3 linked regions of the Xenopus tropicalis genome follow. The protein of the gene in region 1 purifies or fractionates together with the protein of each later gene. This does not show direct contact. Links are inferred from orthologs where the notes say so. Each region holds a gene or a part of one and is shown in the gene's direction. Other genes may lie near its edges.

Region 1 (3,652 bases):
TATATCCTGTCTGTCTCTTGGCTATGAGTATCAGGGAAGGGGCACCAACTTTTGGGGAAGTTATCATGTCAAGGTCCACCATGTAAAGTTTTTTTTACTGTCATGGAAAATGCCCTTTTGCATTACAGTAACAGCAAACAACATCATATTTTAAAGAATAAATATTTCATTATATTTAAAATCTAAATAATAAGTACTCCAAAGGGTGATCTAGTGACACTGATGAACATTCTGGGCTTCTTCACCAGCTGAAGATTAATACGTACCCAGATCTAAAGCATGTGGTTGCGTGCAGAAGAAGGGGGCATGCCTGGCAGCCATTTAAATTTTATATGGACAAAATATCTTATTGGCTACAAATGTATTTCCTGTTAAACTATTAAAGTTACAACATTTTTTAACACTGCAGGGCTGTTGGAACCTTTGCAAGAGCTTTAGATTGCAGCAGTTCAATCAGACAGCCGAGTTTACACATGAGTGCTGCAGCAGCATCTCGTGACATCACACTGGTAAGTTACAGTTTGTGTTTCTGCATTCCCTTTATAGGTGCTTGCCTTTATAACCATAAGATGCAGCAAATAGTTTGAGATATATTTTAAATAGTGTACATGGCATTTCTAAGAATTTAATTCAATGTAAATATGTAAATAATCAGTAGTTTTCAACCAGCTAATACATATTTATCTTTAGTTTCATGCCATGGATACACTACAGAGGAATGGGTATGACCTTGCCCGTGCAATGTCAACACTGGTACCTCAGGGGGGGCCAGTACTTTGCAGGGATGAGATGGAAGAATGGTCAGCATCGGAGGCTATGCTTTTTGAGGAAGCACTGGAGAAATATGGCAAGGACTTCAATGACATCCGGCAAGACTTTGTGAGTCCGGTTCTTTGTTACAAGTTCTAGGATTGGGCAGTGATAACATAGTAGCCTTGATATTGGATGTGTCTGCCTTGTTTTAGTATATTGGAAAATAATATGGACACTGGCAAGCATCTCTTAAAAGGAACATATTACACTTTTGAAGATTTCTCTCATTGTGTAGGCAGTGGTGCATTTCTGCAGTGCAGAGAGCCAATGGCTTTCCTGGGAAAGCAACCAGCAGGAGGGGAAAGCGGCTGGCTGCTGCTGGCAAGTTTTTTGTAAAAATTTGGTTAAAGCAGGAAATTGCATCTTGGCTGCTCAATTTTAAGAATAGTGTAATGCAAGGCAAATACTAATTTTGGAGACAATACATCTGTTTTTTAACCACCACCTGTCTCTTTCCAGCTCCCTTGGAAATCTCTTGCTAGTATCGTTCAGTTCTATTACATGTGGAAAACTACAGACCGATACATCCAGCAGGTAATGTTCTATGGCCAGCTGATCTCAATGGGCAAAATAAGCATTTTCAGCATTCCATTAATTGCCACATCTTCCTGCAGAAACGCCTGAAGGCAGCTGAGGCTGACAGCAAACTGAAACAAGTGTACATCCCCACCTAGTGAGTCCTTAGCTTTGTCATTCATATACTTTATACGGATATGAACTCACTTTTTTTGTTTATATAATGTTGCCATTAAATAATGAATATGGATATTAAGCCTTAATCAATTTTTTTCTTGCTTCTCCCAGTACGAAACCCAACCCCAATCAAATAATTTCTGTGGGCTCTAAGCCAGGTCTTAACGGAGCTGGATTCCAGAAGGGTCTGACCTGTGAGAGCTGTCATAGTAAGTTATCGAAACATTAGCATGCCAGTATTTTGGCATGGCTCATTTACACAATTAGCAGGGTGAGAGGATTAATGAATTCAGTAAAGTTCTGTTTTGCTTGTTAATGGTCATTGATATTATCTGTGTCATCAGCTCTTGTACAAAGCAAATCAATGAAGAAGCGGAGCACAGGATAACTCATATATAAAACCACATATTTATTTCCATCAGTTAAAAAACAGAGCAGAGCATCCTCACCTCATGGCTTAACACGTTTCGTGGTCAAAACACCACTTCATCAGAAGCCCAACCAGTGACCCCCCCTCCCAAAGTTTAAATAGACTCGACACACCCCCTCCACCCTTTAACCATTAACCCGTAAGTGGAAGGAATAGTGTGTATAAAGGCATATATATAAAAACATGGATGAGGACCCATAAGAAATACAGTTCAAATGGGAATCGCTACCCCCCTTATAACCACATAAATGATTAAACCATATAGGAGAGAGTCCAAAATAACATGAAATATACTTTGTAAATACTCCATATTAATATCAAAACAATACTAATCCTATTAACCTAATATAATTTTAACCTCATGTACTGTAAAATGTACCCTACATAAGTAGTCTCAAAGTCACATAGGCAACCATCAAACCCTTGTGTCCACATACAACCCAAGCGTACAAGGGTTCCAACAGTGGAAATTAATTTATATTACACAATAAAACATTTACATGGTAAAACATTGCTTAATGTCAGCAGTAGCAGGATAATTCCCATTCTCTATTAAGACCCCCGTATTGTTCCGTTGTCCTTAAGCGATAAATCCAATAGACCTCACGCTCCGAGAGTCTTTTATCTATATATCCTCCCCTAGCATTTGCCCTGGGTCTATCGATAATCTGGAATGTCACTCTACCTTTGCCCTCATGCTTCTCTATAACATGCTTTGCTACCGCTGATCAGCTCTTGTACAGTAAGAAACAGCAACGTGATATATGTACATTAAATGCAGTGCATCAGTGAAAGCAACTTTCTCAGAATCCCCTCCAGCAATAATATCTGTTGTACCACCCTAAGTCCATTCTAAGTAGGCTGAACTGGTTGGAACAAGGAATATCTGTACTGTAATATTTCATCATACTAGGTATTTTGCCGTAGAGGAGCTTAACTGGCTTTTTATTATTATAAATGTCTGATTGGGGACTAAGGCTCGAAGGGTAACATTAAGACAGAACACAAGCTTCAAGGAGCCTACTAGCCTTTTCATTTGCTGTAATTTGGCTAAAGCCTTCTTTAGTGACCTTCAGAGACCTTGCTACAATGATGTAGTTGCCTATAAAGGTTCAATGAATGAAGGGTAATATTGCTATTTAACAAATGCTTAGCGTGCCCAATAGTTTAGTGCTTTCTACCACATCCAGTCCTTTAATGTTTTATTTTTTCCCATACATCTTTCCTCCTTCAGCCACAGTCTCTGCTCAGTGGTATGCTTGGGGTCCCCCCAATATGCAGTGTCGACTCTGTGCTTCCTGCTGGATCTATTGGAAGAAATATGGTGGTCTTAAAACCCCAACACAATTGGAGGGAGCAGCACGGAACATAGGAGTAAGTGCACTCAATTTTCCTTTTATCAGCTCCTTCCTACCCTTTGTAGTTTAGCTACTTTATTTATTTCCAGGAACCACATTCCAGGGGCCATCTTTCTCGTCCAGAGGCTCAGAGTTTGTCCCCATACACTACCAGCGCTAACCGTGCTAAACTGCTGGCGAAAAACCGTCAGACCTTTCTGCTGCAGACTACCAAGCTGACTCGCATTGCACGGCGTATGTGTAGAGACATCCTTCAGCCAAGGAGAGCTGCACGCCGGCCTTATGCCCCAATCAACTCAAACTCAATTAAAGCAGAATGTGAGTACACAATGCATTTGTGTTACATTTTTTCTGTAGA
Region 2 (3,652 bases), on another chromosome or scaffold:
GGGAGGGTCCTCTGCGTCTGTGGGAGGGTCCTCTGCGTCTGTGGGAGGGTCCTCTGCGTCTGTGGGAGGGTCCTGTGCGTCGGTAGGAGGGTCCTGTGAGTCTGTGGGAGGGTCCTCTGCGTCTGTGGGAGGGTCCTGTGCGTCGGTAGGAGGGTCCTCTGCGTCTGTGGGAGGGTCCTGTGCATCGGTGGGAGGGTCCTGTTTGTATGTGGCGCGTAACCCCGGCCTGTGGGTATATGGCGCGTAACCCCCGGCCTGTGGGTATATGGCGCGTAACCCCCGGCCTGTGGGTATATGGCGCGTAACCCCCGGCCTGTGGGTATATGGCGCGTAACCCCCGGCCTGTGGGTATATGGCGCATACTGCAGGCTCCGCCCCTCTCTGTGACTTCTGTTTATTTTTCTGTCTTTTGAGTCAGGAAGGAAACAGAAAACTCCCAGGAAGTTCACGGGGGAACAGCCCTCCCTCAGCGGCACCTTCGGCCTGAAAGGTGAGTCCACCTGCCCCCCCGGCCCCCCCGGGGCCCAAACACTGTCTCACCCTGAGCCTTTCCCCCCGTAAGGTCTGGCCAAAGCCGAGGAAAGGGGGAGGCGCCGGAGGGGCGCAAAGCCGCCATTGGACGAGCCACGGAGAAGGACTGACTGTGCAAAGGCCAATCAGGAGCAAACGGCCCCGCCCCCTCCAGGTATACAGGGTCTGAGCCCGGGGGGGCCCATGTGGGGGTGCCAGGTTTATTATGGGGGGCCCATGTGGGGGTGTCAGGTTTATTATGGGGGGCCCATGTGGGGGTGTCAGGTTTATTATGGGGGGCCCATGTGGGGGTATCAGGTTTATTATAGGGGGCCCATGGTGGGGGTGTCAGGTTTATTATGGGGAGCCCATGTGGGGGAGGAGTATTAGGTTTATTATGGCCATGTGGGGATCAGGTTTATTATGGGGCCCATGTGGGGGTGTCAGGTTTATTATGGGGGAGCCCATGTGGGGTATTAGGTTTATTATGGGGGGCCCATGTGGTATCAGTTTATTATGGAGGGCCCATGTGGGGGTGTCAGGTTTATTATGGGGGAGCCCATGTGGGGGTATTAGGTTTATTATGGGGGGCCATGTGGGGTCAGGTTTATTATGGGGGAGCCCATGGGGGTATTAGGTTTATTATGGGGGCCCATGTGGGGTATCAGGTTTATTATGGAGGGCCCATGTGGGGGTGTCAGGTTTATTATGGGGGAGCCCATGTGGGGGTATAGGTTTATTATGGGGGGCTGTGGGGGTGTCAGGTTTATTATGGGGGCCCATGTGGGGGTTCAGGTTTATTATGGGGCCATGTGGGGGTGTCAGGTTATTTATGGGGAGCCCATGTGGGGGTATCAGGTTTATTATGGGGGGCCCATGTGGGGGTATCAGGTTTATTATGGAGGGCCCATGTGGGGGTGTCAGGTTTATTATGGGGGAGCCCATGTGGGGGTATTAGGTTTATTATGGGGGGCCCATGTGGGGGTGTCAGGTTTATTATGGGGGGCCCATGTGGGGGTGTCAGGTTTATTATGGGGGCCCATGTGGGGTAGTCAGGTTTATTATGGAGGCCATGTGGGGGTATCAGGTTTATTATGGGCCCATGTGGGGGTATCAGGTTATTATGGGGGGCCCATGTGGGGGTATCAGGTTTATTATGGGGAGCCCATGTGGGGGTATCAGGTTTATTATGGGGAGCCCATGTGGTATCAGGTTTTATTATGGAGGGCCCATGTGGGGTATCAGGTTTATTATGGGGAGCCCATGTGGGGGTATCAGGTTTATTATGGGGCCCATGTGGGGGTATCAGGTTTATTATGGGACCCATGTGGGGGTATCAGGTTTATTATGGGGAGCCCATGTGGGTAAGCAGTTTATTATGGGCCCATGTGGGGGTATCAGGTTTATTATGGGGAGCCCAGTGGGTAGTCAGGTTTATTATGGGGAGCCCATGTGGGGTATCAGGTATATGGGAGCACATGTGGGGGTATCAGGTTTATTATGGGGGGCCCATGTGGGGGTGTCAGGTTTATTATTGGGGGAGCCCATGTGGGGGTGTCAGGTTTATTATGGGGGGCCCATGTGGGGTAGCCAGGTTTATTATGGGCCCATGTGGGGGTATCAGGTTTATATGGGGGGCCCATGTGGGGGTGTCAGGTTTATTATGGGGAGCCCATGTGGGGGTATCAGGTTTATTATGGGGGGCCCATGTGGGGGTATCAGGTTTATTATGGGGAGCCCATGTGGGGGTATCAGGTTTATTATGGGGAGCCCATGTGGGGGTGTCAGATTTATTATGGGGAGCCCATGTGGGGGTGCCAGGTTTATTATGCGGAGCCCATGTGGGGGTGTCAGGTTTATTATGGGAGCCCCATGTGGGGTTCCAGGTTTATTATGGGGGAGCCCATGTGGGGGTTCCAGGTTTATTATGGGGCTGAGCCCATGTGGGGGTATCAGGTTTATTATGGGGAGCCCATGTGGGGGTATCAGGTTTATTATGGGGGCCCATGTGGGGGTGCCAGGTTTATTATGGGGCCCATGTGGGGGTGCCAGGTTTATTATGTTGGCCCATGTGGGGGTGTCAGGTTTATTATGGGGGGAGCCCATGTGGGGGTATCAGGTTTATTATGGGCCATGTGGGGGTGTCAGGTTTATTATGGGGGGGCCCATGGGGGGGTTCAGGTTTATTATGGCGGGCCCATGTGGGGGTGTCAGGTTTATTATGGGGCGCCATGTGGGGGTGTCAGGTTTATTATGGGGGCCCATGTGGGGGTGTCAGGTTTATTATGGGGGCCCATGTGGGGGGATCAGGTTTATTATGGGGGGCCCAGTGGGTATCAGGTTTATTTATGGGGGCCCATGTGGGGGTGTCAGGTTTATTATGGGGGCCCAATGTGGGGGTGCCAGGTTTATTATGGGGGAGCCCATGTGACACCCCTCTGTGCCCATCAGACAGTGCGGAGGGGCGGTGCCAGCGCCAGAGGGGGGAGGTTCTGTGCCCCAACTGCAAGTCCGTCACTCGCAAAACCATGACCGGCCTGAGAAAGCACATGGAGGTGTGTGAGCAGGTGAGACTGGGGTACGGGGGTGTGTTCCGCCCCCAGTAAGGGGGGTGTGTTCCGCCCAGTAAGGGGGGGGTGTCCCGCCCAGTAAGGGGGGGTGTTCCGCCCAATAAGGGGGGTGTTCCGCCCAGTAAGGGGGGGTGTCTCCGCCCAGTAAGGGGGTGTGTGTTCCGCCCAGTAAGGGTGTGTGTGTACCGCCCAGTAAGGGTGTGTGTGTACCGCCCAGTAAGGGTGTGTGTGTACCGCCCAGTAAGGGGGTGTGTGTACCGCCCAGTAAGGGGGGTGTCCCGCCAGTAAGGGGGTGTGTGTTCCGCCCCCAGTAAGGGGGTGTTGTTCCGCCCAGTAAGGGGGGGTGTCCCGCCCATAAAGGGGGGTTTCGCCCAATAAGGGGGGGTGTTCCGCCCAGTAAGGGGGGGTGTCCCGCCCAGTAAGCGGGTGTGTGTTCCGCCCAGTAAGGTGTTGTGTGTACCGCCCAGTAAGGGTGTGTGTGTACCGCCCAGTAAGGGGGTGTGTGTACCGCCCAGTAAGGGGGTGTGTGTACCGCCCAGTAAGGGGGGGTGTCCCGCCCAGTAAGGGGGTGT
Region 3 (3,489 bases), on another chromosome or scaffold:
CTGAACACTTCCTGACCAGGTGGAGGGCCCTGTCCAAAAGAGCTTACAATTTAAGTTGGTGAAAGAAACTACCAGTCCACAGATAAGGATCTGCTTACACCAGCGGTTCACAACCTGTGGGTCGGGACCCCTTTGGGGGTCTAACAACCCTTTCACAGAGATCGCCTAAGACCATCGGAAAACACATATTTCCGATGGTCTTAGGAATAACTATGGTTGGGGGTCACCACAACATGAACTGTATTAAAGGGTCACTGCATTAGGAAGGTGGAGAACCATTGCCTTACACAGAGCATCTTATTTCAAACGCTGCAGCTTATATAGATCTCAGACAGCACTCGCCAGAATGCAGTTTAGTTCAGTACACAGTTGGTTCATCTCAATGGGCATTTTCACTATTACTACAACAGGATTTCAGTAAACGGCAATAACATTTTAGGCCACTTAAGCCTTTTCCTTAAGCTACTGAATATGAACAATTAACTTATAATCTTACCCCATGGTGCCATCTACTGGTGACTCGTATTAGAACATTTATACAGTGTAACCATACAAGACTTTAAAATACAATATGTAAAATGTGCATGTTATAGCACCATATTCCCCCTCAACATAGTGCCAATAAAGCAGTCCATTTTTTCTTACCACGACTGATAGACGGCGCATTGAGAATAAATAGAAATAAAGTCCTCATTAAAATTGCTGGTATACAGTAGCAACAATGTTACTTTTATACCCCCTCCTAAATGTTCTTTTGCAGAACTAACTCGAGCCTTTTCCGAACAATCACTGTCCGGGATACCATGTCTGACCTTCCAGAAATCCGCAATGGAGCCTCTGCTCTGGAAATTTCTTACAATGGAGAGCCTCAGTCCTGGTTCCAAAGGCAGATTCGTGGCTCGCAGTATCAGCCAATTCTCAGGGATCATGTCTGCAAGGTAAGTCAGTAAAGCTAATGTTAACACGAAAGGCATTTTTATAGATTGTAATGCCATAGAAATTCCGTGTTTTACCATGTAAGTTGATAGTTTGACAATGCCTTTATACATGGTCCTAGTGATCAACCTATAGGTAATGTTGACTGTAACCTAGTGGCTACTGGTGGTTTTATGGCCTTATATATATTGTCATCTGGCCTCTGCAGGACATGAGCGCTTTAGTTGCTGCCAGAATGCGTCACATACCTCTTGCTCCTGGCTCAGACTGGCGGGATCTACCTAACATGGAAGTGCGTCTGTCAGATGGCACTACAACCAGAAAGTTACGCTATAGTCACCATGACAAGAAAAATGGGCGCAGCAGCACTGGTGCTTTAAGAGGAGTCTGCTCTTGTTCTGAAGGTATACACTTTCTCCTGCTTAATAAAGGGCTGCTGGGGTAATAGAATCTGTGTAGCCAATTACCATGGTCAGAACATGCCTTGTTGAAATGTTTTATTTTCAGGCAAACCATGTGACCCTGCAGACCGGCAGTTCAACACGCTGATTCCCTGGTGCCTGCCCCACACAGGAAACAGACACAATCACTGGGCTGGCTTGTATGGAAGACTTGAGTGGGACGGCTTCTTTAGCACCACTGTTACTAACCCTGAGCCAATGGGCAAACAGGTGAGTTACAGGTTCTAAAATACACTAAGTATCTAAGAGGTAGTGTGGCTTAGAAACAGAGGGGAAGCCATTGTCCTAGGGACAGTCGGTTACAGGCATCTTAACGGAGAAGGAAAGTCAGAAGGAAATATATATTCTGCAGAAAGCTTTACCATACCTTAGTAAACAGCCCTAGAAGCTCCCTCCGTTTAAGATGGCAGCTGCCATTTTAGCTTGGTCTCAGTAGCTTCCTGCTGCAGCTCTAGCCGTTGGTAGCATAGATCACACCTGATGGGAGTGAAGGCAGAAGGCTGCGCAGACACTGGCCCCTGGAATGAAGGATTTTTCTGAGAGGAAGTCTAATACTGAACGTGTTTACAAAGACTAGAAAACCGGTTTCTTTTGATAGAGGACTCAGTGCAGCGTTTCTGTGAGTGCTTATGGCTGTGTTTACATAGACCTTTCTGATAACGCTTTCTTGGTTTTTAACTTTGCTTCTCCCGTGTACTGAATAAACCTGAATGAATAAGGTGTATGGGGGGGGGGGCTCTTTAAAGTCTCATAGTCTTGCTAAATATTACAAGGCCACAAATGCAGCACATTACAGAATGTTTCCTCCTAGGGTCGCGTCCTTCACCCAGAGCAACATCGTGTGGTGAGTGTGAGGGAATGTGCGCGGTCCCAAGGATTTCCCGACACCTACAGACTGTTCGGTAATATCTTGGATAAACACAGGCAGGTGAGTATTGGTGACAGCAGAGAGAAGTTCTATGACAAATGCTGAACTGATGAATATATTTCTACCCTACTTCCAGTCCGTAACGTTGAAATGTTTTGTAGGTGGGTAATGCCGTGCCGCCGCCTCTTTCGAAAGCCATTGGTTCAGAGATAAAGAAATGCGTTTTGTCAAGGGAGAAAGAGAATGGAACAGGTGGGTGTCTGCCCTTAAAACATGTATCCCCTTGTGTATCCTGCATCTTATCTATCAGCCTATAATTGTACCTCTTCAACCTCTGGCACCTAATAACTTTTTTCTTTTTTTTGTCCAGAAACCGTGAAGGCTGAAAAGATGGAGACCGATTAACTTTTTTTTGGGGGGGGGGGGGGCAGCTTACACTGAATTTCCCTCCGGAGTTTCAAACTGAAGAGCAGATATTAAATCTGACACTTCTCTTCTGGTTTATCAAATTTGACATTTCCAGCTCTTAATTTTTATCTGCTGAATCAGATGAGCTGCGCGACAGCACTTCTAAAGATTTTAAAGAACAGTGGGTTTTATTATACGTTGTACGTCGGCGTCTTACCTCTCCACTTTGTATACGTGCTATTATGTAGTTTTTATATGTTGTAATATTTGAAATAAAATGTCTCTTGTACATGATGTTGCTTGTATACTGTACAGCCTCATATTGCCATAGGTTAGAAAGTATATTGTCAGCCTCCCAAGAACCCACAGCAGCCATTAGCCAAACCTAAGTAAAGGTACAAGGGGCTATGGATTGGACAATGAAAGGCTTTGTTGTACTTTAGGTACCAAAATACAGCTGAATACCTGCATTCTATCCTTTTTGTTTTCAATCACAACTGATGCTGTGTTAGCAAAGCAGAGCCAAGCCATACCCACAGGGCTCTATGATCTGCCACACCAAAATCCAAAGAGCAGGAAGACAGAAGGGCTGTGGAGTTAGTACATAAACCCTTTGACTGAGTTCTCTGTTCTTTTATGGTACCGGCAACTCTGACTCCAGATACCCAAAGCTGCTTCCGACTTCACAACTGGCTCCGCAGCCCTGATCTTCAGGCTTAATGATTCTTATGGTCTAAGACAATATCTCATCCTTATATTCATCTGATGACAGAATCCTTTCAAAAGAAACTTCCAGCACAGATATTATATGGATTC

What was found. The genes of interacting proteins can lie anywhere in the genome.
Region 2: the proteins of mta2 (region 1) and znf512b purify together in Homo sapiens (affinity purification with mass spectrometry; 3 studies listed by BioGRID and IntAct, with this or other methods). This does not show direct contact. The link is inferred for Xenopus tropicalis from reciprocal best matches to the Homo sapiens genes MTA2 and ZNF512B.
Region 3: the proteins of mta2 (region 1) and dnmt1 purify together in Homo sapiens (affinity purification with western blotting; 3 studies listed by BioGRID and IntAct, with this or other methods). This does not show direct contact. The link is inferred for Xenopus tropicalis from reciprocal best matches to the Homo sapiens genes MTA2 and DNMT1.

The regions. Positions count from the first base shown.
Region 1 is NC_030680.2:36,837,908-36,841,559, reverse strand, and holds part of mta2 (metastasis-associated protein MTA2), read left to right. Parts: intron 1-409; coding exon 410-509; intron 510-690; coding exon 691-879; intron 880-1,272; coding exon 1,273-1,347; intron 1,348-1,427; coding exon 1,428-1,486; intron 1,487-1,617; coding exon 1,618-1,715; intron 1,716-3,170; coding exon 3,171-3,310; intron 3,311-3,383; coding exon 3,384-3,612; intron 3,613-3,652. UniProt on the Homo sapiens protein: May function as a transcriptional coregulator. Acts as a component of the histone deacetylase NuRD complex which participates in the remodeling of chromatin.
Region 2 is NC_030686.2:1,311,798-1,315,449, reverse strand, and holds part of znf512b (zinc finger protein 512B), read left to right. Parts: intron 1-418; coding exon 419-490; intron 491-562; coding exon 563-685; intron 686-2,961; coding exon 2,962-3,077; intron 3,078-3,652. UniProt on the Homo sapiens protein: Involved in transcriptional regulation by repressing gene expression. Associates with the nucleosome remodeling and histone deacetylase (NuRD) complex, which promotes transcriptional repression by histone deacetylation and nucleosome remodeling.
Region 3 is NC_030679.2:137,105,588-137,109,076, reverse strand, and holds the end of dnmt1 (DNA (cytosine-5)-methyltransferase 1), read left to right. Parts: intron 1-760; coding exon 761-938; intron 939-1,144; coding exon 1,145-1,340; intron 1,341-1,443; coding exon 1,444-1,607; intron 1,608-2,208; coding exon 2,209-2,325; intron 2,326-2,426; coding exon 2,427-2,517; intron 2,518-2,635; coding exon 2,636-2,670; 3' UTR 2,671-2,967; downstream 2,968-3,489. UniProt on the Homo sapiens protein: Methylates CpG residues. Preferentially methylates hemimethylated DNA. Associates with DNA replication sites in S phase maintaining the methylation pattern in the newly synthesized strand, that is essential for epigenetic inheritance.